Linked DNA regions of Yarrowia lipolytica. The main gene of each other region encodes a partner of the protein of the gene in region 2 in a complex. Links are inferred from orthologs where the notes say so. Each region holds a gene or a part of one and is shown on either strand. Other genes may lie near its edges. The genes, in order: YALI1_E17583g, YALI1_B18207g, YALI1_C14516g and YALI1_A05491g.

Region 1 (7,294 bases), on a different chromosome or scaffold from region 2:
CGGGGAAAAGCTCCGACTACAAATGCCACCATATCAGCTCGACACAACGATTCCGAGAAATGGCTGATTTTCAATGGTGCACCAAAAACTCGCCATTTGTGCACAAGGTGGAGGCCTCGCTGTTTGCTGGAGACCTCCAAAGAATCAAAGAGCTGGAGCTGGAGGGACCTGGTGATCTCACATCTGTCGAAATCGACTCAATTCCACCTCCTCGATTTTCGCTCATCCATTACCCTTTCCCTTACTACTACAAACAGAACCCCATGGTCACTGTCGTCAAAGATGGCTCTTCTACAAAGCTAGTGAACGCCAATGCTGCACCCAAGCTGTACTCCTGGGTACTTACAGCAACAGACCCAGCCCCCACTGGCCCTAGAAAAGAGCTTGCCCCTCTTCCTGAGCCAGATGCTGAGATGGACACTTCCAACGGAGACGCTAGACGTGACTACTCCGGCAAACCCGCCCAACAGGTGCACGAGAAGCTACTCAGACAATGTGTGGATGAGCTGCAGGAGCTCTTCAGAGAACGGCCTCTTTGGACTCGCCAGGGACTGCGTCATTACGTTAACAACCCCGAGCTCAAACACATTCTCAGATTCGCATTGCCCTATGTGGCTTACTATTTCCGATCTGGACCCTGGAGAGGAGCCTATGTGGTATATGGAAAGGACCCCAGAACTGACCCCAGCATGCGGTTCTACCAGACAGAAGCTTTTCGAATCAGCGACAACCAAGACGAAAAGACTGAGAAGGTGGAGGATGACTTGGCCGGTCTTGCCCCTCCCGTTCAGCCTGCTGCTCAAAAGGCACTTCCCCTGCCGTATGTCTTTGACGGAATTCATCCTCCCGAGTCGCAAACTCTGCAGCTGTGCGACATTACTGACCCTCTCTTGTACGAGAAAATCCACAGTGCCCCTGTTCGAGCCAAGTACGACGTTCTGGACGGCTGGTTCGAGTACAATGACATCAGCAAGATTCGAAAGGCTCTCCGAGCCAAGGTCCGAGGAACTATTCTTAGGGAGAACTCCAACGAAACCGTGCAGGCCATCTTTGACGCCGAGGAAGAGCAGCGACCTGAAGGTGATGTTGAAGAGAATCAGGTTGCTGAGGACGACGAAGAGGACGTTGTGGAGGTTGTGGACCCCGAGATGCAGCCCGAGACTACAGAGGCGGCTGTTATTACCGAATCCTCTTCGGAGCCCCCTGTGGAGGACCCTGATCTCAACATGTTCAGTCTTCATCTTAACAACGTCAAGAGCCTGCGAGACCTGTCGGGTATTTCTCAGCAGCGAATTGACGATAAGGATAAAGATAAGGATACGGGCAAGGACGAGGGCAAGGGCGAGGGCAATGGCGAGGGCAAGGGCGAGGGCAAGGACGAGGACAAGGAATGGTAGTACTATTTGTACAACTTGTATGTATTTTACGGTATTTAATGTATTTTTAAGAAGCACTCTTGTTATGCTCATACCAAAGAGTCGAACTCACGACCCCCTGTATAGCTGATTTTTACCTCGTCTGAAAAAAACCTAACCCTGCAACATCCAAACTGTGTTAGTGAATTTTCGGATCACGGTACATCACTTCACAGTCACAAACATGTTCAAGCGAGCTACCGTCCCCCTGACGACAATCAAGAACGCCAGAAACGCCTCGATTCTGCGAGCGCCCAAGCGACAAAAGCGACTCGCTTTCGGACAGACCATCGCTCCCGTTTTCCACGAGTTTGAGTGCACCGTCCAGCTGTCCGACGGCTCCACCTACAAGCGACGAACCGTGGCCCCCGTGGAGCAGCTGAAGCCCATTAATGATCAGCGAAACGTGCATCTCTGGAACCCCAACAAGCCCGAGCTCAAGACCGACTCTGGAGAGGAGGGCAAGCAGATGTCCAAGTTCAACGAGAAGTTTGGTTTCGGCGAGGTCGACGACGACTTTGCCGATTTGCTGGGTCAGGACTTCGTCGAGACCAAGTCTGGAGTTCAGGTCCAGAAGAAGAAGTCCGACCTGAAGAAGAAGAAATAGGCGACGTAGAAGGAGACACGGAGAAGGCGTTGGTAGCGCAAAAACAGTACATAGTAACCAGCATATTATTGGATGATCTGAGTACGTAGGGGATTGTAAAGACATGGCATACATTCCTCAAACACATGGTGCACGCTATGAACTCCCGTTCACGTCGTAGTTATGGCTATATTACATATAAATTACTAATCTTTCTATGATGCAGAGTTATCCCGTCGTGGACAAGTAGACCTTTCTCTAAAACTTGTGTTTGGTACTATAGTCCTTGGGACTGACCACCAGACCCTTACCTTTACTTGCTCCACGATAGACTGTTTCGATGATGTCAATGAGCTCCTGCTTGTCCTCCAATACCCAGTTCAACTTGTTGTTATCTCCGGTGCCAAAGTCGCACATGATGTGTTTGTTTCGGTAGAAAAACATGACCGATACTGGGTCATACAGCTCGTACATCTGGTTGAACTCGGGCACCTGGTCAATGTCGCACACGTAGACGGCCGCGAAGTTTCTGATCTTTTCCGCCACCGAGTACAGATGGTCGTCCATTTTCATGCATTCGAGGTCGTGGTCTCGGCCGAATCGAATGACAACGAGTCGATCCTCCTCCGATAAGATGGCCTGGTCCACGTGCCAGCCCGTGTTCAGGTGAGGCAGCAAGATAGATCCCATGATGTGTGTGTAATGTGCTGAGTTGGTGCAGAGGTAGGGATATATTTAGGTCACGTGAGTGGGAGGTTTGTGGGAAAATACAAAAATAAAATAAAATAGAATATAATATAATATAATATAATATAAATAAAATAGAATACAAATTAAATAGGAATACAAGTAAAAGTGCATCAACTCGATTTACAATATAACTTGATCAGACGCGGGAAAACATAAATGTGGTAAATTCCCCCAATAGCTATATATCTGGCACTCTACCCACCATATATCCAAGTTATTTGATTTTCCAGTACATTTTCGTATATGGGTACAAACCTCAAACTCTACATTGCATTGTTCAAATGCTCTGGAACCCTGACTAACTCAATTGGACAGGCCCGGAATATCGCCGAATATGAACCCATAGGGGATACCGGGCGAGAAAAAACGAGCCCTGTGGAATGGCATTGTCCAACAAGTAGTTCAAAGTCTGTCTATGTCTGCGTCCAGTCGGTCCCTTTTGGTGTTTATTGACACACTAGAACCTTCAATGATCTGAGGCAGGAACTAATTCTGGCTCTAGGAAGGGCCTGTCGGAGGGGGTCATGTAAGTACGAGTACGGGTGATGGATGAGACATGGTGAGTCACAAAGAGTGACGTCTTTTCTTTGTTATAGATGTGTGATGGGATTCAAGCTCTCGGGAAACACAATTCCGGTGTAGTCACGCCTGCTCTACGACTTGTACGAGGGACTCGTTATCATCTATCTCTCATTGACAGCAAATGCATACTGCGCTGGGGTCACTTTCACGCACCCTTTTCTTGTTACTCCCAAACCCCGTTGTTTTTTTTTACAAGAGTGCAAAGTTTGGAAAATTTAACTCCAGTCCACTCTTACGACTACTGCCATTGTGACTTCACTAAATCTGCTACGTAGGAAGCTGATTCCTACCCCCCATTTTATACGTCAATTCTCAGTCAGTTCGAATTTTTCCGCTAGAATGTCCACCCGACCCGCCGACCAGGAGCTCAACCGAGAGACTCTTGATGCCGTCCTCAAGCGACGGTTCTTCTACGCCCCAGCCTTTGAGATCTACGACGGTGTTTCCGGTCTTTACGACTACGGCCCGCCTGGATGTGCTCTCCAGACCCGAATCATCGACACGTGGCGAGATCACTTTGTGCTCGAGGACGACATGCTCGAGGTCGACACCACCATGCTGACTCCCCACGAGGTTCTGAAGACCTCTGGCCACGTGGACAAGTTTGCCGACTGGATGTGCCGAGATCTGGCCTCCGGCGAGATTTTCCGAGCCGACCATCTGGTCGAGGAGGTGCTCGAGGCCCGACTCAAGGGAGACAAGGAGGCCCGAGGCATCAAGGAGGACGTTGTTGAGGACGAGTCCGCCAAGAAGCGAAAGAAGAAGGTCAAGGAGATTGTGGCCATCAAGCTCGATGACAATGTTAAGGAGGAGTACGAGACCATTCTTGCCAAGATTGACGGTTTCTCCGGCCCCGAGCTTGGTGAGATCATGGACAAGTATAAGATCGTCAACCCCGTCACCGGCGGTCCCCTTGAGAAGCCCATGGAGTTCAACCTCATGTTCGAGACTGCCATCGGCCCCTCCGGTAAGCTCAAGGGCTTCCTGCGACCCGAGACCGCCCAGGGCCAGTTCCTCAACTTCAACAAGCTGCTGGACTGCAACAACACCAAGATGCCCTTCGCCTCTGCCTCCATTGGTAAGTCTTTCCGAAACGAGATTTCCCCCCGATCCGGTCTGCTGCGAGTCCGAGAGTTCACCATGGCCGAGATTGAGCACTTTGTCGACCCTCTGGACAAGGACCACCACCGATTCGACGAGGTCAAGGACGTCAAGCTGCGATTCCTCGCCAAGGATGTCCAGTCCGCTGGTAAGACCGACATCCAGGAGATGACCATCGGCCAGGCCGTTGAGACCGGTCTCGTTGACAACAAGACCCTCGGATACTTCCTTGCTCGAATCTACCTGTTCCTGATCAAGATTGGTGTCAACCCCGACCGACTCCGATTCCGACAGCACATGTCCAACGAGATGGCCCACTACGCCACCGACTGCTGGGATGCCGAGCTGCACACCTCCTACGGCTGGATCGAGTGTGTTGGCTGTGCTGACCGATCTGCCTACGATCTGTCTGTGCACGAGGCCCGAACCAAGGTCAAGCTGCAGGTTCAGCAGAAGCTCGACGCTCCTCTCGTCGAGGACAAGTTTGTCTGCGAATACGACAAGAAGAAGTTTGGTCCTCTGCTCAAGAAGGCCGCCAAGCCCGTCGAGGAGTGGTTCGAGTCCCGAACCCAGTGCGAGCTTGAGGATCTTGCCAAGGCTCTTGAGGCCGGCAAGATCGTCCTGCCCGAGATTGAGGGTGTCGAGGTTGCCGGCACCGAGCTTGACAAGTCTCACATCAAGATTGAGAAAAAGACCATCACCACCCACGTTCGAGACTACACTCCCAACGTCATCGAGCCTTCTTTCGGTATCGGACGAATCCTTTACTCTCTGATCGAGCACTGCTTCTGGACTCGACCCGAGGACGCCTCCGGAGCCAAGGGTGTGCTTTCTTTCCCTCCTCGAATTGCCCCCACTAAGGTTCTTGTTGTTCCTCTCTCTTCCCAGAAGGAGCTGGCCCCCTTCACTCAGGAGGTCTCCAAGAAGCTGCGACAGGCCCGAATCTCCGCCAAGGTCGACGACTCTTCTGCCTCTATCGGTAAGCGATACGCCCGAAACGACGAAATGGGAACTCCCTTCGGTATTACCGTCGACTTCGACACTGTCAAGGACAACTCTGTCACCCTCCGAGAGCGAGACTCCACTCGACAGGTTCGAGGCTCCATCGACGCCGTCATTGCTGCCATCAACGTCATGACCGCCGACGATGTTGCCTGGGAGGAGGCCACCAAGGACCTCACTCCTTTCGATTCCACCGACAAGGAGTAAATCCAGTAAACGTTCAATAAAAATATGTACAGAGTAATGAGTTCAATATTGGAATTAAACAGCACCAAGTAGTCACCCTCAGACCACTTGAGGTGAGATGTATGGGTGAGAGAATAGACCAAGGCAGCCAAATCAGAACATGTCACACTTTGGATCTGTGGCGGTTTCTCTATGGACAGCCGGTTTACATATACTGAAGTAAGGCACGTTCTACTTTGTAGTAAGGGCATCTAGTCAAACATGTATTATCGTTATTTCTTATTTCTCAATGAGACCAACACCCCACTTTTGGTTGTTGAGTCTTTTGGCGACCACGGGGCCCATGTATCGCACGGCAATACCCAGGGCCAGCACAGTGTACACGAGGTTCTTCTTGCTGAAATTGGGCTTCATGAGATCGAAGGCGGTGGAAGGGAAGATTCGGGTGAAGAAAATGTCTCCGTTGGTGGATAGAACAGCCACCAGAGAAGTCGACTCCAAAGTAGCTCCGCTGGTGACAATGATGTCGCCCTTTAGAGAATAGGAGTGTGAAATGAGCATCTGGGGGAAGATGGCAAGGAAGGGATCGTAAGTTCCCAGACCTTCCTCCATCTCAGCAGCAGTAGCAGCTCGTCCAACGGGTCGTCTAGGGTTGATGGCCTGTCGAGGGATTGAGGCAACTCGTCCGTCAGCAAGAGCGACAATGACATCTCGGGATGTGATACCAAAGGTGGTCTTGGAGACAGATAGAGCAGTAACTTCAGACTCGATGCCAAAGGCCTGGCAGATGGTCTCGGGAACAAACATGTCAAAGGCAGACATCTCGTCAGTGGACTTTCGCTCATTGGGGGTAGTGGACTCGTAGAAGTCGCAGGTGACGAGCTTGGCACCGGGAAGGGCACCACCAGAAACATAAGAGTAGGTGATCCAGTACTCGCCGAAAACAATGTCGCTGAAGGACTTGACGTCGTTGTGAATAGACTGGTACAGGGTGTTACCTGTAACAGAGTCGAGCACAGTGATAAGCAGAGTTCCGGCAGTTTCATCAACGGAAGCAGCAGCAATTACGTTGGGGTACAGGTACTTGTATAGCACGGTTCGGTCTCCGAGGATAGTGCCAATAGACACAGACTCGTCGTCCAGATTCTTGGACACGGTCTTGGCGATGGAACCAGCTGCAGGACTCCAGGTCCAGGTGGGCTGGCCGCTCCTGTATCCCTGAATAATGTTTCCGGTGGTCTTGACGGTGTACTCCGAGTCAGACTCGGGAGCACTGAACTCCACTCCGTGAGCATCGTAAGCAATGTCTCCATTGGGTGTGGTAGCAACAACTCCGTTAGCGACAGAGGTGAGTTTGGTGACACCTGGAATATCCACCTCCCAGGCGTTGGTGTTGGTGGTGGTATCAATGGCAGTGAGACCAGAGGGAGTAGCCACAATCAGCAGCTTCTCGAAGAAGTGGTCGTTGTCAGTAGACACCTCCAGAACGTCAAGGGTTAGAGAAGAGAACCACTTGATAAGATGAGGCAGCTGGGCAACGTGGGACTGGATTCGGTTGATAAAGGCGGTCACGGGGTCGGTGTTGATGTTAAAAGCGTCATCGGCCTTGACCTCATCCTTGTCAATGAAAGCAGCAGTGATGATAGACGAGAGGACAGGAGAAGACCACAGA
Region 2 (8,152 bases):
AGATGGTGACTATTGCTCCCAAACAAGTCTTCATACATCATCAGGGCTCTGTCAACGACGTCACTTGGCATCCTTCTGAAAAGACTCTATTTGCAAGTGTTGGAGACGATCAGAAGTTGTATGTGATCGATACAACTGACAACAGCACAGTTTATGAGACAGACACGAGAACCGCATCTTTATCTGTCGCCTTCAGCCCGTTTAACAATCGGGTGGTCGCGACGTCTGGAGAGGACGGCATCGTCAACTTGTGGGACATCAAATCCACTTCACAGACCCCTATTGGCCGACTGGTAGGTCACGAGGGGCCTGTGGGCTCGTTGGATTGGTCCCCGCATAATCCTCGACTGCTGGTGTCTGGATCTGAAGATAAACGGGCCATCATCTGGGACATTTCCAAGATAGGTCAGAAAGACGGCTCGGAAAAGCTGTTTGTGCACGCTGGACACACGGAGAAGGTGACCGAGGTGGGATGGAATCGCAGTCTGGAGGGTGTGATTGGAAGTGTTGCATTTAATTCCTTGTTGCATGTTTGGAAGGTGAAAGATTAGTAAGGTGTTGCTGTCGATGAGAGATGAGACGATGATGACATTAATTTATTCTGTATCATGAAACTACAAGGATTATGAAACGTAGCAGAAAAGAAATACATGATACAAGTACCTGTAGACCTACATTCAATATGGATCACTCAATTAAATAATTTATCATACAATCTATAATGCAATTACCACTCGACACGTTCTTCGTCATTGTGGCTCGAGTTGAGGTCTTCCTCCTTCATGTTTGACAGCTTCTTCTTGTGCAGGTTTGCTTTCATGGGCACTCGTCCAAACATGAAGCCGGGGTGGAAGATGGCCAGTAGGTATGTTGCTAGCACCATCATCAGACCGTCGAGCACCAGCATATACACCTCGTTGATGACCAGCCGTCCGTGCCATCCTCCGGCTAGTTCGATGATTCGGTAGATGGAACGGGTGTAGATGAGAATAATAGCAATCGTCTGGCCTACAATGAAGATAGGTAACTTCTTGCCCTTCTTGAGCTCCTCGATATCAGGTCTATGAGCCTGACTATCAAGTACCTCTGGGTTTCTTCTGCCCGTGTAAACTCGGAAAAGGAATTCAAAGTAGAAGAGGAAGAAGATTGACATGACGAGCACCTGGAACGCGATACCGGCGACCATGATCCAAGTTCCCGAGTCCGAATTGCCTTGGGTCGCTGCCAGACCTCCTCCCACGGCCTGAATGATGATCGAGACCCAGTCTCCGACCACAAAGATGATTGTGTAGACGATAGGACCCAGTCTTGAGTAAGACTCTCCATAGACAACCACCAGCTTCGCCAGAATGCAGTAAACACCTGCCATGACAAAGGCCGGAGCGAGTGTCAGACACACGATTTGCATAATGTAATAGGACTCGTCTTCGACTGAGATCTCTCGTGACAAGAATCGACCTAGGAATCCCAGAAACTCGAGCACGCAACCACAAGACACACAGACTCCAAACCACCACTGGCGCCAGAAGGCGCCGAGAGCCAGGTGGGTCAACAGAATGAAGGCGAACAGCACGAGGCCGGCCAAGTTGGAGTCGTAATCGGGCATGAAACTGTACAATCCATAATGTGCATTGAGCCAGTCGTACCACTGGTCTTTAGTAAGACCCAGCTCTTGAGCCGAAGGAGTGCCCGCCGCAACTCCCTGAATTATGGTCGAAAGCACAAAAGTCGTCACCCAGGCTCGCATTTCGTTCAGAGACTACAAACTTCCAGACCCACGCCACAGCTATATATCTCTCGAGAGTTTGAGGAGGCAGAGTTAGACTCCAGCGCGATGTGCGAAGTTGCTCGTGGGCCCAAGATCGACGGAGTCCGAAATCTGAGGTATTGGTTGGGTTGGAGGGGTAGGGTGCTCACCACCTTGGTGAGATTTTGATTCTGAGTCAGTTGGTAATCTCTGTTTCCTCGCCTCTAAACTACACCACCCAGTTATCCCTCTGTTTACTCCACAAGGTGCGAGTGGCACGTTCAAAAAGCCAGTTATAAAAAGTCAGAAATACGAGGTGTGCGCTCGCACAAATTTAATTCGGATTTGGCAGCGTCCAACCTCATGTCTTTTCCAGTTTAAACCCGTTTCATTGGAGAGCTTTATTAAGAATGGAAAATACTGAGCAGTACACTGATCATTATGCGTGTGACGTCTTGGGGGTTAGTACAAGTCTTGACTTGGGACTTTGATTCACATTTTCGACTCTAAACACTCACTACAGTAGTAGTAGTAGCGCGCTATACTTTTGTAGACCCGCTGAACTGCTTATCTCCTTTCTCTCTCTCTCTCTCTCTCTCTCTCCACACCCTGTTCCCATCGGCAGCTTATTTGCCGCATTATGAACCAAGCATATACTGTATTTACTGTAAGCATAGGGCACGGAAGTAAAGAAGCTACACTGCCGTTGCCGGAGGAACCACCCATCAGAAAGTACATACTGTACAGTACATATGATAAATGAATGAAAATACGCGGAATTTTGAAAAGGAAAACACCACCCCCTCATAATACCTCGAACCTCTGTTTAGGCGGCATGTGTACCTTTTATGGCTTCCCTCACGACACACGGTCAGCTCCTTGACTTGAGAAATAGAGGGCCCTGAATGCAGCATATTATAGTTGGATGAGTCTAACGCACATTAGTTGAGAGTTGAATGGAGGGGGGCGTTGGTTGGATTTTGGGCACACAGGAATGAGAAGCAAGGAAAGAGAGAGCGAGAAGTGTTGCAGTAGTGAAATACTCGTATATTTCATCTCGTATTTTTTTATAAAATACGTTCTTTGTCGTACCGCTGCAATGCTGCCAATATGCTGATCTGTCTGCGTAGAGAAGCTGTTGTACCAGACGAGTATGCACGTATAGCATGTGTCGATAACGGCTGTAAGTACGAGTATGTATTCGTACGGTACAGTCATATATTCGAGTACGTGTATATGTGTCGCACATCATTAGTCGCGCGTACGCTATAGGTAGGGTCAATAAATTATCATTTATGTTACATGCTGAAGCAGTATCAGTTTCCATCACCCTCCTTCAACTTCTTGGTAGTGCCACGGTCCTTCTGCTCGTCAGCTTTTCGCTTAGGGCCTAGTTGCAATCCGCTGCCCCTCTCCAGCTGTGTGAACGTGCCTGAGGCAAAGAATTTGTTATCCTGGGTGGCCGTCTTGGGTCCCTTGGGTTTACTAAGCTCCATAGACTGCGCCGTAACAGACAAAGACGACTGAAGACCGTCGATCATAGGTTTGGGACGGTTCTTGAGCATCTCCAAACGCGATCGAGCCCCCTTGGACATTCTTGCACGGGTCTTGGAATCAGCTTCAACTCTTCGAGCTGATCCCAGGCCAGCAGCAGAATCCAACATTCCCAGACCCACGGTCTCTCCGTAAACGTCCACAGTCTTTTCGGCCTCTCCGAACGCCATTCGGTTGGCAGCAGCAGCCATTTCACTCTGCTTGAACTGCTCCTTGAACTTTCTGATCCGCTTTCCACCTCGCTTCTTTGAGGGTTTGTCGATAGGAACAGGTAGGGCCTTGACTCCCTTTATCTCCGGGGGCTCTGCTAGTTTCTGCAACTTTCCTTCAATCTCCTCTCGCATTTTAGATCCGAACGATCCATCTGTAGATGCTCTAGAGGCATCCAAACGGGCTGCAAGTACTAGCTTGGCTGACAACATTCGCATGGCCTGCTTTCTGATATCAGCAGGACTCTGTTGTACCACATCCGAGTAATACAAGTAACCCTGCTGTCTTTGTGCTTGTCCAAACCCCACCGCAGTCTCTCGCTTAGCTCCTAGAGAAGGTATGTTGCAAGAGGGGGTCTTTGCCAGACCGTTGAGACCACCCACAAATCCAAGAATCTGAGCTGCACAATGAGCACCAATCAGAATGGCCGTATTGGGTGCAACGAGGTTCAGTTTCGAGGAGACATAGTTAGTGATTTGGCGCTTAGCAGCGTCCAATGCTATCAGTAGCTTACAAGCTTCGTTTATAGTGGCCATCTCAACGTCCGAGAGTCGTCGTCCCCCTTGGTCCACAGTCATGGTAATAGTCATCATCACTGACTTGTGCACCACCTGTTTTAAGTGCGGGCTATCTGACTTTGCCACTGCTGCGGGATCGTTTCCAAGAATGGCCACTACCTGTGCATGCTGTAGTGGGTTGGCGATGAGTGATCTGAGCTCGGGGTACCGCTGGCTGTATCTAGTGGCGATGAAGTTGTGCAGCTCAGCTACTGCGTTGTCGATTTCCACCGAGTACTCGTTTGCTCCCACAATCACATGGTACTCTGGATTCTCTTCTAGATTTGATGTGAGTGCGAGAGTTGACTGAGTGGCACCACTTTCGTACAGAGAAATGCTTCTGAGTTGTGGCAGAAGTCTGGGGACCATTGCTGCCGAGTTGGTGGACCCCAGCAGGTCCAGGTTGATGTTATTGAGTGGAGTAGGCGACAGAGGTTCTGTGGTTTCGGTTGCAATGACTTCAGTTGGGATCTGGGAAGTCGCATCTTCCATCACCTCGTCCACCTCTTCATTTTCTTCGTCGCTGGAGCCAAAATCGGCCAGAATTTCGTCAGCCAGGCCCATTATGTCGTTGTGGGGGTGAGCTCAGCCTTTTGATGGTGATACAGTAATTGAGGGAGGATGCAATATTTAGAGTTATGATCTTTTCGAACACTTAGAGTTCCGATATGCAGTGGACTTCGAAGTGCAAAGACACCGTGAAACGCGTTATCACAACTACAAGTATTCCTGAACGACACTCAAGTTCCTCTGGAAGCCCTGTAAAAAAAACATGAGCAGAGTCAGCATGTTTCCTACGGAAGACAAACGGTCTTATTTCGAGCGACAACGGGACCAGTACATCAAAAACATCTCGGCCAGCATGGAAGACGTGCTCAACAACCTGAACGCGCTGAACCGTTCGTTGGAACACACTGTGGGCCTGTCTCAAAAGTCTGAAGAGCTCGCAGAAATGTGGAGCCACTTTTACAACACCGTGAATGAGGATCTGGTGAAGACGGAGGACGGAGACATCGAGGTAGACACTACCAAAGAGTAGTGTAATTTGGAGTTGCGAGTTACGAGTAAGGGCCTGATGGACTTGCAGACGATTATTTATAAATGTATTCTAATGAACTGATGAGTGCTTTGAGATGAGTAAATGGCCGGTTTTCAGATTTCGAGTTATGTGATCTAGGTCTATAGTACAAGTATCTACTTGTAGGATTAAAAATTCTACTCTACAGTTTGTACCTCCGTAGATGAACTGGGCCACTGGCACAGTATGCACAAGTAGAGCTACCACACAACTCCTACATTATATGTACTCGTACATATAATAATACGGCTGCTACCGTTCATTGCCGTTACACAGACGTCGCGCCCTCTTGTATCCTTCTCATCATAATGCATTACTATATCACCCCTTGTTAGCTGTGGTTGATGCTTTCTACAACACCAAGCACTGGTGTCGTTTCTTCTTCTTCTTCTTCTCGATCGGTTCCGAGGCTGGTCTGGATTGTAATTTTGGACGTGTGGCTGACGCTGCTGCTGCCGCTGCCCCTTTACTTTGTGATCGCACAGGTTTGGTTCTCTTTGATCTCCCTTTTTCCTTCAGCACCGCTCCCATGGCGACTGCAAACACCTCTCTAACGCCAGACATGTCCTTTGATGAGCACTCCATGTATTTGTACACTCCGAGTCTCTGTGCCATGGATTTGCCCTGCGTCGGCGTGATGTGGCTCAGTCCCTGAGCTTTGAGATAATGGGCGGATGTGGAATCGGCTCTGAGATCGGTTTTGAGACATACCAGCACCACTGGCGTGTCTGGACAGAAATGCGTCACCTCAGGGAACCACTTTTCGGCCACGTTTTCAAACGATGACGGCGAGTCCACGCTGTAGCACACCAGCAGCACATCCACGTCTGGGTACGAGAGTGGTCTGAGCCGGTCGTACTCCTCCTGTCCTGCTGTGTCCCATAACGCCAGCTCGATAATCTCTCCTTTGGGCCCCTTGAGCGTGGTTATGTAGTTCTCAAAGACCGTCGGTATATATCGCTCGGGAAAGACACCCTGCGAGTACGACACCAGCAGACATGTTTTTCCACAGCCTCCATCTCCTACCACCACCACCTTGATGTGGACGTCTGGTTGTGCGGATTCCGCCGTTTCGATGAACTCGAAGCTGCTCGGGTTGGCGGACTCGGATGTGCGGTAGTAGCTGAGTCGCTTGAGGGACGACATTTGCTGTTTTTGTGGCTCTTTAGACGGTCGAAAATAGTGTTGTTTGTTGGAGATGTGCGAATTACCTTTTGTTTGGAAGATCTGTCTTCAGGGGGCTTGTGGAGCTCGACACAAAGACAAAGCGCGTTAAAGGTGAAGAAGTGGCGATTCAAACGTGTTTTTTTGAAAGAGCCGTACACGCGGTGAAAAAATACACGCTCATACACCTTACAAGTACGGCCCGACTCCACTATATATCCGTTGGGGCCTGTCTGTACATGGACCTGCATAAGACGGATCCCACCATATGCCGAACTCTGTGGTCTAAGTTGAACAGGGCTGAGTACAGTGTGTATATCCTGGTAGCACTGAGCGACAGCGGGGCCGAAAGAGGACCAAAAAGCGCCCACATCTGGGAAACATGTGAACTGGAAGCCCTTTGCTTTGTCCATTGCATATTGTACAGTGCTTCTGCTTGTGCTCTCACTCGCACTGCATATCTGTTGGTCGCCTGTCGTTCATAATTAAGGGCTGGTCGTAGCTCGTCGTACCTTAGACTAAGCATATCTGGGCGGGATGAAACGGGCTGACTTATTAATTAACTTGGGATGGGAAAATCTGGCACGTTTTAGCCCCACCACCCTGACCAGCCTGGTCTACAAGCACTGTACATGCTGTAAAATTGAATTATGCGATGTATCACACTGTTCGATAGGGGCTAGGGGTATCGTGGTTTCGAGTCTGTGCTACTCGTACTGTAGCCGTATCGCCAGTAAGTACGACTGTACAGTATCAGAGTTAGTGCAGTGTGTCCCTCGGCCATGTCATTGCACTGTATTCACGGTCCTTGTTGCTACAGTATCAACACACGCCTACCGTACATACGTCGCTTATTAAATAGTTACTGTACTTGTAATTTCGGTAACTTGTACTCGTACTGGTACATACTGGGGGTGATCGCGTGACAGGCTGTGAGGAACTGCAGGGCTGTTGATGTGACAAATTCGGAGCGGTGAATATGGACGCCTGTGGTTGATTAATATGTCAAAAGAGACACTTCAACCCTGGCAGCACCCTAACTGTAGAACAGTATGTACTGTACTTTTGGTAATTTGTAATTGGTAATTTGTATTACTGTGATCATTTATAAAGTACTATTTGTGTGGCCCAACTGACGTCAACAATAGGGGGAAGGGGTGTACTTGGGTGTGATCCGCCCTGCACGTGGATTCGATATGATACTCCGATCCTTACTTGTACAAGTGCTTGTAAAACTACAAATATGTGCTATTTGTTATCTTGAACTTGGCAAGAGGGGTGTGATTTCTACAATACAAGCTGACGATTATAAATTCTGAAAAGTGAAAACCGAGAATGGTAGGCTCCAGCTCCAACATTGGTATGTACTTGACAGAATCGGTTTGTAATGTCCTGCGCGATGCTCGCGATGGCACTTATGGAGTGTTCGTTCTATGCCAACAGTATATACGGCTCTCGCAGACAAGTGGAAATAACGAGCAACATTCACAGCTGGCCATACCTTTTACTGTTCGTCTCATATTCAATGTACAAGTTGATGTTACGTTACTGGCTGGCCTGGATCTTGCATGTAACCTCGAGGTGAAGGTATCGTAGTAGAGCCCTTTCCGGACGATAATCTTGACAAACGGACTTGACAGAAATGTGCTCGAGCCCAAGGATTTTCATCATCGGACTCAATCAGTTTGCTATAGCCCCGCAATTGACATTGGATCCTTGGAAACACAAACTCTCTAAATCGGTCACCCTCCCGTTCAACCGGCCGGTCAAGAGCAATAAGGGTCATGCGCGGATAGTCAGCTCTATGAAAGCTTTTATAGTCGTTTGTTGTACTCGTACTGT
Region 3 (7,373 bases), on a different chromosome or scaffold from region 2:
ATCCACTAATGGCTACTTAACTATCATGTCACATCAAAGTTCAGCTCCTTTCTTCTCCTGTAGGCAGCCCCCACTGGGTAGTGAAGGATAGGAACCAGCGACAGACACCCGGAGACTTCTTTGTTGCTACTTGATACTCTCTTCATTCGGGAAATCAAGTAACACTCTTGTTCCAGTCACAGTATGTGTAGAATGGTCGGTCTGAGTAGCCACCTGGAGTTCACCTAGACAATCCACTTCATACTGATCACAATCAGAGAACCAGAAGGGTAACAATCGCTTCGCCCAAATCCTCAGCTCTCACTCGCTCACCAGCCGTCAATCACAAACTATTAATTAACTATTAGATACATGGTCCATATTATACCGTCTCCTCACATTGTCTTAATTCCACAGAGGAACAGGCTCACCGACAGCCTTGTAGGTGGCAATGAAGTTCACAATGAGAATCAGCAGCAGAGCCACGGCAATAATCAACGGACCAATGGGATTGTCCAGATGCTTCTCGCTTCGCTGCTTAATATAGTTCAGCCGGCTCATGTAGGTGGACCATCCCCAGATTCCGGAAAACAGAGTCAGCGCAAACAAAGTGTAGGCAACGTAGGTGGCAACAGACTTGTCGACGGCAGCCTGCACGGAAGAGTACAACGTGAAAGTCAGAGCGGACAGCAGAGTGGTGATATGGAGCCACTTGTTAAAGGTTCGCTCGTTAGCAAGCCACACCTTGGTCTCGACCTTGACAGGACCGGTGTTTCGGATGAGAACGTCGGGCTTGACAACGCCGGGAGGAAGAACAACTTCCTCGTCCTCGGAAAGCGCATCGTCCAGCTTGGGACCAAAAGTTCCCAGGAACGGGATCGAGTACTTGTGCTTGAGCGACTTTCGGTTCTTGGGTCGCCCCTCGTCGTCGTCAGAGTCGGAGTCGTCCTCCATGATGGTCACCTTCTTGGTAGAAAAAGAAGGACCAGCAGGAGTGGTAGCACCCTTTCGGGGAGAAGACACAGAGGCGGCTCGAGCACGCACAGCGGCAGTCTTGGCCCGCTCCTTGAGTTTCTTAGTCTCCTGCTCAAACGCCTGCTTAGGATCAATTCGGATATCATCCTCCTCGAGGACAGACAGCCACAGAGGCAGGAAGTTGAGCTTGTCATCCTCACCGTACAGAGAGGCAATACCCTGGATGAACTTGGAAAATTTGGGCACCTCCTTGACCAGATGCGACGACGTCAGTTCGTCGATCCACTTGCCGTGCTTTCGGTACACAGACGACGAGGTGATGATCGAGTTGCCAGTGTCAGCGGTGTCAACACCAGGTCGGTTCTGGACTCGGAACTCCAGAACGGCGTAGGGGAACTTGGAGTACTCGCCCTTCCGCAGCACCTTCTTTGGGTCCGACACGGCGTCGATGTCGGTTCGATGCCAGTTGTTGGGGTCTCGGATAGGTCGGTCCTTGTCAAAGGCGTCCTCTTTGATGAAGAGAATGTCATTGTCCATAATGACTCGCACTCGGTTGTCACCAGGGATCTGGAAGGCCGTTCGAGTGTACTGAGCTCGGCACACGGGCTGCAGAGAGTTTTCCCGGATAAAGTCCTGGATGTTCTCCACAGACTTTTCGTAGCCCTCGACTTGATAATCGGGCACGTGCGAAGATTTCATCTTCTGGACAGTCTTCTCCATGTGGTAGGTTCCGTTGATGAAGCCAGCAATGTACTTTTCCTTGATGGGGAGTCGCTCATCGCCGCCTGCGATGGAGTGGTCGACGGTTCGCTTCTCAATGTAGATCTGAGAGTCCTCGTCGGAAGTCTTGCCGGCCCACTTGAGCCGCAGAGAGGGAGAGGTGTCATTCTTTTGTAGCTTACCCTCGTACAGCTCAAAGTCGGAGTTGTCAAAGTAGAGCGACGTCAGGGTGGGATCAACAGAGTCCTGCGAGTCGTTCTGGTTGTTGTAGACCAGAATGGGAAGGTGACGCAGAATTCGGGTCTTGACCTCCATCAGATTGTCGGAATGGACCCAGAACTTGTACGAGGTGTAGTTGAGATCCGAGTCGTTGGTGTATGACGACAACTTGGCGTTGATGGACGCCGACTGGCTCTGGGGAGCCTGTTCTCGAAGGAACGAGTAGACAGCAGAAAGCCGGTTGATAAGCGGCGAGTAGTCTTCGCTGTGGAAGGGCAGGGCCTTGAGTCGCACCTGCAGCAGAGGCTTAACCGAGTACTTGGAGTGTAGTCGGTCGTGCTTCTTGACAATCTTGGTGAAGCCGGTGAAGTTGATTCGGGAGAAGTGCTCGAGCTGCTGGGCGCTCTCAAGAATGTCCTCGATGGTGTGCTCCAGGTTCACAAGATCAATCTCCTTGACCTCGACAATCTGCTTCTCAATCTCGCCAATGGCGTCGGACAGCTTGTTGTACATGTTGGTCTGGAACGAGTACACCTTTTCGAGATCGGAGTCGAGCGCCTGGACGAAGCGGGTCTCGTCGGACTCAGACCACTCCTCCTTGTCGTTGGGCACAACATTCTCCCGGAGAAGTCGCTTGAGCGAGTCGTAGTTGATGTAGTGGTCCTTCCACGGCTCGTAGATTTCGTTTTGAAGGCGAACGCCGAAGAGCATCTGGGTTAGCGGGGTTCTTTGCTTGAGGGTTTCTAGCCGACCGAAGCTCGGTTGGACGAGACTCAAGGAGTAGAGCATCCTCGGCACCCCGAGGACATGATTGGCTAGTCACAGACGAGTTGAACAATAATAACGACATGTCAAACCAGCAACTAAAGTGGATAGTTCTGGTGGACACAGATGCAGGGACCAGGATCACAGCAAGGGTATATGAACAGCGTCGGGGAAGATGTGAGATGTGGTCGGACATCGAGTTTTCTTGGGAGTCGCATACATGTACGCAGTCACCCCCACTACCACATGGAACACTGTACCGCAAGGACACTGTAGTTCCATGAGACATACCTGGATTCAGGAAATGGTTGTACGAGGAGACCACAGTCGAGATACGAGGCACTGGCATCAACAGCTCCGACACAAACCACTGGCGTCAGCTGTCGACACCATGGCCGCCATGTTTCTGTGTTTTGCTACCGTTGCCATGTCTCTCTGTCATCAACACCTCGCCCCTGTGCACTCCGTCATCAACACCTCGCCCCTGTGCACTCCGTCTGTGTCACTAACCCCCCAACGTCATACTCACTTTCAATACGGTTCTGATGATGAAGAGGAATTGTCGTCGACAGTGTCCCCCAAGTTTAGTGGTTGGCGGTGCATAAAGTTTGTGTTAGTGTCGACAAAAGGCCGATTTGGCACTAGCGGAAAAGCGCCGATGAAGAGACGTTTTGAGCGCCTAATTTTGACACAACGACTCCAAAGGCCCGCAGCTGTGTTTCGCCGTTTTCCGAATGCCGACATCTGTCCTCAAAGGCCCTATTCGACGACCTTCAACAGCTCCCCGCCACTGCCGCAAGATGCCAATATAGTTTTCGTATCTGACAGAAAGTATCACGGGCAGGAATAGGACCCAGTCATAACAGACACTTATAACGTCGCCGAGAGAAAGGCGAGACGAGATCCAAGATGACCATGACACACTCGAAAACGGGCGACTCCCGGTCACCGGACAACCCCCCCCCCCCAGAGAGTCACCCAAACATCCTTCGATCGCGGCACCTCCCAAATCGTATCGAAAAACCAACCGAAACTCTGTTCAAACTGCATCCTCAAACAAGAAACAAAAGTGATTTTTACAGCTTCAGAAATCCAGAGTGAAGAGCTGAGATGAATACAAGAACAAGACAATAAAACTGATATTGGCACATTTAAATACAACCCTCCACTCCGAGCCCCACTCAATCACGTGACCCCAAATTCCGGTCCACCACTCTTCTTGGTCAAATCACCTCGCACAATCGTACATATCAAATGCAGTTGTCCACCCACGTGTTGGCTCACCACATTCATGATTGGAGGGAGGACGCGACGACATCGGAGGGACCGTGAGAAGTGAGGTTAAGAGCACAAAAAAGGGGGATTATTAAGTACTTTTGCTGATGAATCCCAAATAGAAGGAGTTGATTTCCCCTGTTATTTTTCCTCCATTTCTGATCTCCTATCTTTCCGGACTTATCATATTTCAAATTAAAAATTTAGAAACATCGAAACTCCAACTATTTTTTATTTTTTATTGTTCTAGCAGTGAATTTTATCGAAACTAAAACAATTATAAAAAATCACACACTAATTAAAATCAATAAAAACACTCAACGAAACCAAACAAGAGAACAAAACTACAGCATTGCTCGTCAAACCACTACAAAATCCATATATATCACGTGACTCCCTTACCCTTCTCTCTCCCACCAACACTCTGCTGACTAACAAACTCTAGACTGCAGAAAACTTCACGTGACGGCTCCATCTCATCTCATCTCACCAGCACCACCACATTACACAAGAATGGGAACCAGCGTTCCGGAGCTGAAAAACGTGAGTACGGCAGCTAGCCAGCGGGATTATTTTCGGTCACGTGACTAACACAGTACATGGACAAGCGTCTCATTGTCCATCTCAACGGCGAGCGTAAGATCATTGGTGTTTTGCGAGGATATGATGTGAGTATTGAGGAAGGAGAGTACGATGATGACCGAGGTACTGATGGATAGTCAGATGGAGTAGTGACAGAGTCGAGCTGTTTTGACTAGCGCTGGATTGAGATCTGAGATGTGTCTCTACGTCTAGAGACTGACAGGTAGAACGAATCGACTCAACCAGAGCTCTACCACAGAGATATATACCTGGTGGTTGGACTACTGTCAACAAACTGGATATGAGTTAGCTGGAGACAACTGGACCTCCGCGAATGCCGACACATGTCATTTCAGCTCGTTTCCTACTCGGTCAATTCTTCTCACATGTCTGGCTGGTCAACAAAATCCTGCTCTGTCTGAGTTGTTTCTGAACATCATCTGTCTCAATGAACAGCCCGGGCCTTTAATGACTGTCTTCAACGAATCTAGACACAACGGATTCCGCGCATTATTGGTCTGTCAGCCGATTTTCGACTTCATTCATCTATGATGCTCCCACTACCGCTACGTACTAACTCAGGCATTCCTAAACATTGTTCTGGAGGAATCTGTGGAGGAAAAGGCCAATGGAGACAAGGTACAGGCCGGCATGGCTGTGATTCGAGGCAACTCTGTGGTCATGCTGGAGGCCCTTGAACGAATCCAGTAGACCCCGTCTACCTTGTATAATAAATTATTCAGTATTAGCGATGTGAAGGAGATTCTCTAGAGCTGAGGGACACTAGCGCAGTCAGAAGTAACCCCGCTGGAACTTGAGAGAGAAACGTAAGTAGTACCAGAAGAAAGCTAAGACGACTGGCCCGGTTCGGTTCAGGGCAACAGATCTGGAAAAAGGGTTCCTTGATAGCTCCAGTTCATTTCTGATTGGCCGCCGGTTGAACACTCGGGACCGAGTCTGCTCCACTGGTACATTCGAGTCGGTATTCCTGCTTGCCTGAGAAAGAAAGACCTTGAGGATCTTCTTGGTATCCTTGGCGCACCGGTGCTGGGAATCGATGGAAGTCACCGTCGGCTCCATATAGCCCAAGTCCACTCGGGATTAGAAACAGCTGTAGCAACAGAAATCCCACTTTGAATGTCAGTGAGACCCTCAAGCAATTTTGGCGGAACCAACAGCAATCTCAGCAGCGCCGAAGTAGGAGATCGCCTAAGAACTAAAGAGGGGAGGCTGGCCAATCCATGAGAGCACGTGATAAAATTCAAAGCGGTCACATGTTGCAGCTCTAGGCGAGCACGTGATGACCAGGACGACAAATGAAAGGGTGAAAGAGAGAAGAGGAAGATTCGAAGCATGACAATGACAAACAATCTTCCCTCAAAGTCTCGTGATGAGAAAATCCCACAATCTGTTCCAAATGGTCCAGCTGGTTTCGAGATGGTGGTAATGTTGGTGAATGGGGCTGTGAGGGCTCAGCGAGAGCAGAACATGTAATGTGATATATCACGTGAGTTTCCAAGTCCGCCTACTGAGCTTTATCTCTCTGTTGACATCGATTCCGATCTGGTGGATCCTGTGGACTGGAAACGTACTGGTTGTTAGGTGGAAGCCATGCTGATCATTATGAACCTGACTCTCTGGAGGTTTTAGTCGAGTGTAACAAGTTAGGAAGAGAGTCCATCAAAAATTATTCAGCATCTTTCCAAGTACCCAGTCCCTAGATATGTAGAAGTATTTGGTCACGGTAGGCGTGCCGTATCGACCGGGCTGTAGTCTGTAGAGACGAACTTACTAGGATACCAGAACAGGGTCTACTGTCATTTGGTCTTCTGAGAGTTGGGGTTCTGTCCAGAGCTGGTAGAAGATTGATAACTTGCCCCAGATTCTGTCTGCGTCTCGACCAATGGCCATCTTATGTTAAGGGTTCATGTCTTCAGGCAAGGTCATCGAGTCACCATAGATGATCCCCCACCAGTGTCGCCGACGAAACACCCGGTCGATTCAACGCTAGACAATCCGTCGACGATGTTTTACTCCGTTTTGCAGCGGCTCAAATAACCGCCCCACCAGTCTCTGACATGAGCATATGGACATCGGAAAACGCTGTAGAACATTGTAAAACAGAGAGAAACCGACAATAAAACACAGGACTTTGTTTCTGTTACTTTCTCTCAACTCATCCTCAACTGAGTAGGTCTCGACTAGAGAGATCCCCCAACAGCCAGATAGGCAACATACTGATCTGCTCGTTTCAGTAAAGGGTTCCTTCAAGAGTCAATAAGCCTTAGGAGACAAAACCGCTCCCAGTGGGGAAATACTTGGCCAAGAGCCCCTAGCAGACACTGGAGATGAGAATCCCCCGTTGGGAATCTTTGAGGATTTGTGTCATTAACGACCCAATTGAACCGCTCTGGATACGTCTTATTGAGTCCCCAACACCTGTCAACACCGAATACAAGACAGTCTAACCGCCAGTCGTCGTAGATCTGTCCTTAAACAGTGCACAACATAACACACCGATCCGAAAGTCCGAAGACGTGAGAAGTTCGGAATCTTGCGTCGAAACAAAACTTAAGGACTTGAATCAATATGTGGGTGATAGAGAAGAAAAAAAATCGATTGCACTGTCCACTGCTGAAGCCGAGTGCATGGCTCTATCTGAGGGTACCAAGACTGCTATGTGGCTAACTGAGGTCTATCAAGACTTCGGTATTCCCATGGAACCTAAAGCTGTTGGGATCCTAGTTGACAACCAAGCAGCGATGCATATTTCTAACTATCCCCAGTTCTATCCACGAACCAAGCTCATCAAGCGACGATATCACTTTATCAAAGAAGCTGTGAATAATAGCGAGATT
Region 4 (7,803 bases), on a different chromosome or scaffold from region 2:
TGAGTCAAGTATGTACATACGAGTAGATATCTGTGTTTCATCAATGTAGTTTTCGAATCGAAAATATAACATTCAAAGTAGATGTTGATTCAAGTATCGTAAAGTACGTACATACTGTGTATCGGTAGTTGCCTTCACTTCTGGACAAGGGTACAAGTACAATGTGTTATGTAGTGCGGCATTCGTACTCGCACTCGTATCGTACATTGTTCCTGTATTCCTACTGGATACATCATATAACCCGTTTTAATACCGCTTATTTTGTCTCGTGCCAAGGACATCTTTTTTCCCCCATTATTCCCCAATTCCCACAACAATCCTGAAAAAACAAATAAACTCGCCAAAAACAGGCCAATTTAAATTACGTGACGCAACACGATACAGCTGATGCGCCAACATCTCTGTTCGTCCATCAACCACACCTCACACCGTCACTTCCACAATGCCGCCCAAAGGACACAAAAAAACCGCCGACGGCGACTTCCGACCCGTCAACTCGGCCGGTAACACGATACAGGCCAAGCAAAAGTACTCGATCGACGATCTCCTGTACCCCAAATCAACCATCAAGAATCTGGCCAAGGAGACACTGCCAGATGACGCCATCATTTCCAAGGACGCGTTGACGGCCATCCAGCGAGCTGCCACGCTGTTTGTGTCGTACATGGCGAGCCACGGAAACGCGTCGGCCGAGGCTGGAGGCCGAAAGAAGATAACGCCCCAGGACGTTTTCGTGGCCCTTAAGGACGTTGATCTGGCTCAGTTTGTGCCCAGTGTGACCCAGAGTGTCAACGAGTTCGAACAGGAAGTTGCACAAAGGAAGAAGGACAAGGTTGTACGCGCCCAGGACGACCAGGACCATATTTCCAGCTCAGAGTCGGAAACCGAGGCGACAGAGGAAGAGGGCAACAAAAGAATTAGAACTGATGAGTAGAAGACGAGAAGGACAACGTGGCAACAGGACATTTAGATGCCATACTGAAAGATGCGAACATACTCAACACGCAGCTACGTGTGGTCAAGGTCACAAGCAGAAAGCCCTGATTGCAGTCAAAACACACTCTCCACCTGGCGCAAAAGCACAACCGACACATACGTTATCGCACGATAATAACCACTTACATACATGCCGCAACGGCATCAATACATGCACATTTATTTGATACACAGCAAGCCTACTGCCGTGCACTTGGGGCGGGGGTGTCTTAGATGCCCCGTTGTCATTGCCAGAACCCACGATGTAAAAGATCTGGACAGTTGCCCATATTGAATAATGAGCATGTCTTGATTCGCGTCGTACAGCACGACCAGACTATATGTTCTGGTCTCTTTCCGGTGACTCGAGCCTGTTTGTCATCCCAAGAGCGAGCTGACGAGTTCCACCAAATAAGGCAGCTTGTACTTAATGGTAATGGTCAGATCGACAGCTCAAGGCCTTTTGGTAATCTTGGAGCTCGACGGGTTGTCGTCCTCCGACTTGATGGCGATATCGGAAGGACCGTTCTCGTTGTCCTTGACATTGTAGCCGTGTTCATCGTGTACTCGAAAAGAAGATAGATAAAGGTTGATGGGGATCTTCAGGGAGGATAGATGTATTCGATGCCGAGAATAGTTCGTCCGTGATGGCCTTCCTGTTGTTTGAGCCGATTGTCATAAGTGTTTGAATACACGAGCAGGATCGAGATGAATGACTGAACACACTTGCCGCAGTGGAAGATGAAGATGCCTCCCAAAGAGTGTGACTTGATGGCACTTGTACTGTACTGGTTGCTGGTATCATGTAGATATAGTAAGAACCATGGGCTTCTCACCTTCTCCTGAGTTTTTTGTAAACCAGCAGAAATCAGCTCACAATATATAGCAAACATATGTCGGCGAACAGACTACGGAGATACTCTACAACCATTGCGTTACATTCTATTATACAATACATCCCGTTCTTTCTTTTAAGCCATCTCAACGTCCTCCTTGACCTCTTCGGTCACCTCTGCGGTTGCGCTCTTGGTCTCCTCCTTTACCCCGTTCTCTCCGATCCACAGTACGTTGTTGCATCTGATGAAAACGTCGCCTAGCTCGCCCTTGTTCTCCTGGTCGACATACTCCACTGCATCCTCCAGCTGCAGGTTCATATAACTGTCGACGGAAACAAGTGTGCCCTGGTACTCGGTCTTGCCCCACTTGAGGTGGACAATGACGGACTTGCCTGTGAGTTCTTGCAGAAACGGTTTGGGGTTGGTGGGATTGAAAGGGGTTGACTGGGTTAGTAATGATAGTAGAGGAGATGATGTGCGTGGCGACGACAGATGATTGTGGGCGAATCAGTTGTGAAGCGGAGGTTAACTAAGCATGGTTGAGGAGAGCTAGACCACACATGTCACTAGTGTATATGCGGTTCACCTCGTTCGAGCGAGACAAGAGCTTGCCAAGGAGTCAGCTGCAAATTGGACCATTTCCAGTGCCTCACTTTCCCCTCATTCACGGTTGTAGAAAAACGACATTCCATTGCTGTCACACCACACAAACACAAACAACATAAAAATTGCATGACTTTCACGGCGGACTCTTGATATGGGGTTTCTCGGAAAAGGCTTTGCGTAGCAGACAATATCAAGCCTAGACGCAGCAGTAGTGTCACCGTGTCGTCCTTCCATTCTTGTAGATGTTGAGTTGAATCCAACTACAAAACGAGAGATCAGAGACACAAGACCACAAATACTTGCAGTCCATACCTCGGTATCCATAACCACTCCAATACCCCGCTAGGTACGCCACTGGTCCAGCTCTTCAAACAGCATTCCTGTCTTGACAGCATCAGACCTCGTCAGTATATGGTCCCCTCTCACACCCCGTCCCTCTCACACCCCGTCATTGTGTCTGCCTGACTACCAATAACGCATATCCATCATCTGTAGCATTTCCACTGCTCAAAAAATTCATACTCACCATCCTTGTTGTGGTAAAATGCTTGTTGTAGAAGTGGTGATGATGGCCGTGATCTGAGGGTCTACACACTGATACTGCAAAATAAGGTTTCCTGAATTTTGAAGAAAAAAAATAATTGCGAATTCTGTGGATCGAACACAGGACCTCCAGATTTCAAGACTGAGAATTACTTCAGTCTGGCGCTCTCCCAACTGAGCTAAATCCGCCGCGATTTCGATATTTTTGGATCAATCTCAGCAGTCAGCATTGTCGAATTATGTAATCATGATTGCTGATATATTTACCGGTCAATAGATGAAACAAGAAGAATACGTGAACAACCATACACGAATGCCATGCGCTCTTCTGGACAACTGAATCCAGATCCGATTTGCAGGTATAACAGATGTACTCAAGTAGCTGATGTATTTCCCCAGCATGAAAAAAAAAAAGAAAAAAGGATAACATAAAGTCCTCTGTTCCCTGTATTCTAATATATCTTTCTGCACGGTTACGACAGTGTCCATACCTTCAATATGGCCACCATTTTTTTATATTCTACTTTTTTTATTTTTTATTCTAATGATTCCTTTCTACTGCGGCTGAGTCATCAGTCTGCTTAGTCAGAGGTCTGGTTATAAAACGGGAATATCTCCAGGTCCCTTGGCCCAGTTGGTTAAGGCGTCGTGCTAATAAGAAATAGCCACTTTGCAACGCGAAGATCAGCAGTTCGATCCTGCTAGGGACCATTCCTTTTTGCTCCTTTCAGAACCGCAGATGGTCAGTCGCAAGCGCTTCCTGTCCTGATGTTGCTATCTCATTCTCTTCTAAATGGTTGTGAGAAGAGAATGTTATCGGATCGGACCCGCTGTGTTTGCAAGCAATGTACAAATTTCCATGTGGGGTTTCATTGAAGTCTTGATAAAACCCGAGAAAGAAGACAATGGCCCATTCCAAAGCAGTCAATGGCGTCTATTTTGCTACTTGGAGAACCGATAGCCCCCACACGCATTTCACGGTTGGCTCCCCCGCGTTTCTCGTCGACGACGGAAAGGTCCGAATCTAGTGCTAGCGTCCAGGGTATGAGCATGGCTCCCATGTCCGGTTGGATATATGGAATTGCTGCTTACTAAAAGGAAGTGTGTTTATGAGCGATGAATGGCCTTTCGGGACCGGAACTTCCAGATATTGCTGGTAACTGCTAATCGACACAGCTCTCGTTCACGCTAATGAGTGGTGTAATCTCGTGAGTTAGGTAGTAAATAGCAGTACAGTACATCTTGAAGTTGTCGAACTGGTGAAATTTGTACCTTTTGGCGACCAGTTGCCACACTCTCCTAGGTCGAACGAGAAAGCTCGGGTCGATAGATGGGTTGTAGTTCGATCTCTTAAAACCCGTTTCGTGAATTACTCTGAATTCTCCAACTATCGGATCAGAGCCTGGGCCTATTTGAGCCACTTCATGTGTATCGTATGTGTGTACATTGTAGTCATCAATTCATCCGCAAGGATCGCGGTTGTTCTCCAAGTACGGGTGCGGACTGGACTCGTATCACACCGAAGGACAGAGTGGTGGGTATGTTTAACAGTTCAGTGCAACGTGAAGGACTTTCAAGGACGACTCTACTAATTTACAACTCTACAACTCAAGAACTCAAGAACTACACAACGACAATTCACCGACAATTCAACGACCCGGCTCATAAAAAACAATCCAACCACTTGATAACAACTCAATCAATCCAAGGGACATATAAAAGTGCACAGTACATACAGTACTGTACATAGTGTACGCAATTTAGCCGTATCCGCAGTAGATTATGGTAAGTACCGTAGTCGTAGTACGTATATACTACCAAAACACCTCACACCAACATCTGACGATTGCATCACTCACCAGACTCGAGCACTCCTAAAACTGACCTCATGCACAACCATTTTCTGCCCATACCTTCAACTTTCGGCGTAGTCCGACCTCGTTCAGACCGCCGTGAGTGTCAGAGTCACGTCTGAGCAGCACACTAATTAGATCAACGCGTCGCGCCAAACTTTAACGGAGCCGCATGTGGTGAACCCCGCGCGGAAATCACATAAAAAGATAAATAATAAAAAACACCTGATCTGAAGATATTGTCATGGCCAAGAACACGGATTCTGCGACTCCCCCGACAATGTGACTTCCACAACAGCGAAGACAGACTTGGGTCGGGGTGAGGTGACGCGCGAATATAATGATCTCGCCAAATGTGATGTTCAATGCCATGTCAACCCGATTATCAGATCAAAGTGCTTCTATCTGGCCAACCTTGCAATGACAATGGTCAAACCCCCATCCATGTCAGAAACGGGCATTTTCGCGGGCCGAGTCGCTCCGTGGGAAACATGACGTGTCTGGGTCGATTGGAGTATCGCAAATACATACAAACGCGGCTTGAGTCCACTCGACGATGACGTAGTGGACGCATATTACGCCGCATTGTTAAACTCAACATCGTGAAAAGTAAAGTAAAAGAAAATGAAAAATAACAAATTACAATGGGAAAAAATAACATCCACCGACACGCGAAAGGAAAAAATGAGACTTGATGAGATTCAATGAGGTCCGATGAGGCTGGATTGATGCGTGGAATCACCAACCAATCGTTGTATTGCTAATGGCCGTGTCGACTCTCTGAACACACCTTGTCTCGCTGTATGCATCCCTTGTGCCATTTCAGCCGCACAGATCAGAAGTGTATGACACGCCGACGATTCCATGTCACAAACTCCACAATCAGTCATACCTACTTATATCAAATAAATAGCATCATTACCGTAATTATACGTGTGTACGGTGAGTCAGAGTCAGTCTGAGGCAGCCGAGCGTCCAGTCCAGAAAATAGTCTACTTTCCCTTATTTTTCGCACTTTTTTATTATGCTCATCTCACCACAAACTCTACCCCAAACCATATATTTATCGCCGTTTCTCTCCACACATAACTGCACTCGCACTTTGAGACATCCCCCCAATCACCCTCTGCACTACGCCATGTCTCTAATACACTCCAATGACTCGTCTTCCGTCTGGCTGGAGACGGTGTCGAGAACGGTCAAATGCATTGTGTCCGTCTACTTTCGCCACCACGAGGCGGTGGAGTTTGATCACCCGCTCAAGTCCGAAGCCAGTGGGTTTGTAGTCGACAAGGAGCAGGGCATCATCGTCACCAACCGCCACGTGATTGGGGCCGGCGTCTTTTCCGGCAAAATCAAGTTCCACAACTTCGAGGAGTGCAAGGTCGACGTGCTCTACTGCGACCCCATCCACGACTTTGGTTTTCTCAAATTCAACCCCAGCGACATCAAACATGTCGCCATTGGAGAAATCAGCCTGCGACCCGATCTCGCCAGGATCGGCACAGAAATTCGAATTCTCGGAAACGACAGCGGACAGCAGCTGTCCATTCTGTCTGGCTTCATTTCCCGAGTCCAGCGAAACACACCCCACTATGGAGACCACACCTACAACGACTTCAACACCTTTTACATCCAGGCAGCAGCCAACGCCAAGGGCGGCTCTTCAGGCTCCCCTGTCATCAACATTGATGGCCACGCTGTCGGGCTCCAAGCTGGAGGAATGACCTACTCCACCACCGACTACTTTCTGCCTTTACAGCGAGTCAAGAGAGCTCTCGATATCGTGCGTCAGGGAGGTCTGGTCACCAGAGGATGTCTGCAAACCATCTGGGAGCACACATCATTCAACATTTGCTCACATTATGGCCTGACAGAAGACCTCGAGGGCCGAATTCGAAAGAAGTATCCTGATAATGTCGGCATGCTGGTTGCCAAGCATGTGGTCAAGGACGGCAAGAGCGACAAGAAGATTCAGGTTGGCGATATTCTTGTGTCTGTGGACGGAGAAGACATCATCGACTTCGCTGTGTTGGACAGTATTCTCGACGAGTCTGTGGGCAAGTCTCATTCCATTGAAGTGTTCCGGGACTCGTCTCTTCTCAAGTTTGATGTGGAAGTGGCAGATCTGCATGCTCTCTCTTGCACTGAGTTTGTCAAGTTCGGAGGCATGACTTTCCATAACATGACTTATCAGCTTGTCCGATCTACCAACGAGCCCATCGATGGAGTTATTGTCGCTTGTGGAGGCCCCACTGATGTCAACTGTCGGTCCAAGCTGTACAAAATCAACGGCAAGAAGATTTCCAATCTTACTGAACTGAAGGAGTTCTTCAAAAACGCTGTGCATGGTAAGTCCTACGCGTTTGAGTTCCGAATGATCAAGACCACCACGACCAACAACCAGTCGGTGCGGTTCGATCTGCATTTCTACCCCGATTTCGTCTGGGCCCGAAAGACTGGCAGTGTGTGGACTATGGAGAAGCTCATTGTTAACGGTATCAAGAACACAACTATTCTTCCGTCAGTTATCAAGGGTACGAGCGTTTCTCAGATCGAAGGAGTTCCCACCGAGGTGGAAGGGTCTGCTGCTGCTTCTGAGACCGTTCTCTCTTCCGAGGCAGCTGTCAAGGAGCCTGAGACTAAAATTCCCACAGTTTTACTCTCCAGTATTTCGGATATTACCGCTTTGTCCTTCGCTAACATTCTGCAGTCGTTTGTGACCGTCACAGTGTCACGGCCGGTCAACTGTGACTCTGTGGAGGCTGTTGAGAGCGGACATCACTCTGATGAAGAGTACCAGAAGACGGGGTACATCATCGACAAGGAGCTAGGCATCATTCTCACCACCAATGTCATTTTCTCGCACTTTTCTACGCTGTACATCACCTTCTTCGACCAGGTCCGTCTGCCTGTTTCCATCAAGTACATTGACTTGCAGCAGAACTTTGCTCTTCTTCAATATGATCCCAGCATGATTTCTGCTCCTG

What was found.
Region 1: YALI1_B18207g (region 2) and YALI1_E17583g share a complex: the UniProt entries of both Saccharomyces cerevisiae proteins name them as parts of the U4/U6-U5 tri-snRNP complex. The link is inferred for Yarrowia lipolytica from reciprocal best matches to the Saccharomyces cerevisiae genes PRP31 and DIB1.
Region 3: YALI1_B18207g (region 2) and YALI1_C14516g share a complex: the UniProt entries of both Saccharomyces cerevisiae proteins name them as parts of the U4/U6-U5 tri-snRNP complex. The link is inferred for Yarrowia lipolytica from reciprocal best matches to the Saccharomyces cerevisiae genes PRP31 and SMX2.
Region 4: YALI1_B18207g (region 2) and YALI1_A05491g share a complex: the UniProt entries of both Saccharomyces cerevisiae proteins name them as parts of the U4/U6-U5 tri-snRNP complex. The link is inferred for Yarrowia lipolytica from reciprocal best matches to the Saccharomyces cerevisiae genes PRP31 and SMX3.

What each region holds. Positions count from the first base shown.
Region 1 is NC_090774.1:1,753,755-1,761,048, reverse strand, and holds YALI1_E17583g (uncharacterized protein), read right to left. Parts: upstream 2,692-7,294; coding exon 2,260-2,691; downstream 1-2,259. Other genes in the region: YALI1_E17613g (uncharacterized protein), read left to right, coding at 1-1,397; YALI1_E17594g (mitochondrial 54S ribosomal protein bL31m), read left to right, coding at 1,600-2,022; YALI1_E17574g (uncharacterized protein), read left to right, coding at 3,673-5,643; YALI1_E17527g (uncharacterized protein), read right to left, coding at 5,902-7,294. UniProt on the Saccharomyces cerevisiae protein: Essential role in pre-mRNA splicing. Also essential for entry into mitosis (G2/M progression) as well as for chromosome segregation during mitosis.
Region 2 is NC_090771.1:1,817,239-1,825,390, reverse strand, and holds YALI1_B18207g (uncharacterized protein), read right to left. Parts: upstream 4,633-8,152; coding exon 3,064-4,632; downstream 1-3,063. Other genes in the region: YALI1_B18260g (uncharacterized protein), read left to right, coding at 1-551; YALI1_B18236g (uncharacterized protein), read right to left, coding at 728-1,747; YALI1_B18205g (uncharacterized protein), read left to right, coding at 4,841-5,107; YALI1_B18190g (uncharacterized protein), read right to left, coding at 5,498-6,292. UniProt on the Saccharomyces cerevisiae protein: Promotes the association of the U4/U6.U5 tri-snRNP particle with pre-spliceosomes to form the mature spliceosomal complex.
Region 3 is NC_090772.1:1,447,198-1,454,570, forward strand, and holds YALI1_C14516g (uncharacterized protein), read left to right. Parts: upstream 1-4,446; coding exon 4,447-4,476; intron 4,477-4,529; coding exon 4,530-4,601; intron 4,602-5,097; coding exon 5,098-5,226; downstream 5,227-7,373. Other genes in the region: YALI1_C14498g (uncharacterized protein), read right to left, coding at 385-2,682; YALI1_C14500g (uncharacterized protein), read left to right, coding at 2,879-3,508; YALI1_C14543g (uncharacterized protein), read left to right, coding at 7,164-7,373. UniProt on the Saccharomyces cerevisiae protein: Plays a role in pre-mRNA splicing as a core component of the spliceosomal U1, U2, U4 and U5 small nuclear ribonucleoproteins (snRNPs), the building blocks of the spliceosome.
Region 4 is NC_090770.1:546,940-554,742, forward strand, and holds YALI1_A05491g (uncharacterized protein), read right to left. Parts: upstream 2,947-7,803; coding exon 2,944-2,946; intron 2,256-2,943; coding exon 1,947-2,255; downstream 1-1,946. Other genes in the region: YALI1_A05473g (uncharacterized protein), read left to right, coding at 443-934; YALI1_A05527g (uncharacterized protein), read left to right, coding at 5,838-7,803. UniProt on the Saccharomyces cerevisiae protein: Plays a role in pre-mRNA splicing as a core component of the spliceosomal U1, U2, U4 and U5 small nuclear ribonucleoproteins (snRNPs), the building blocks of the spliceosome.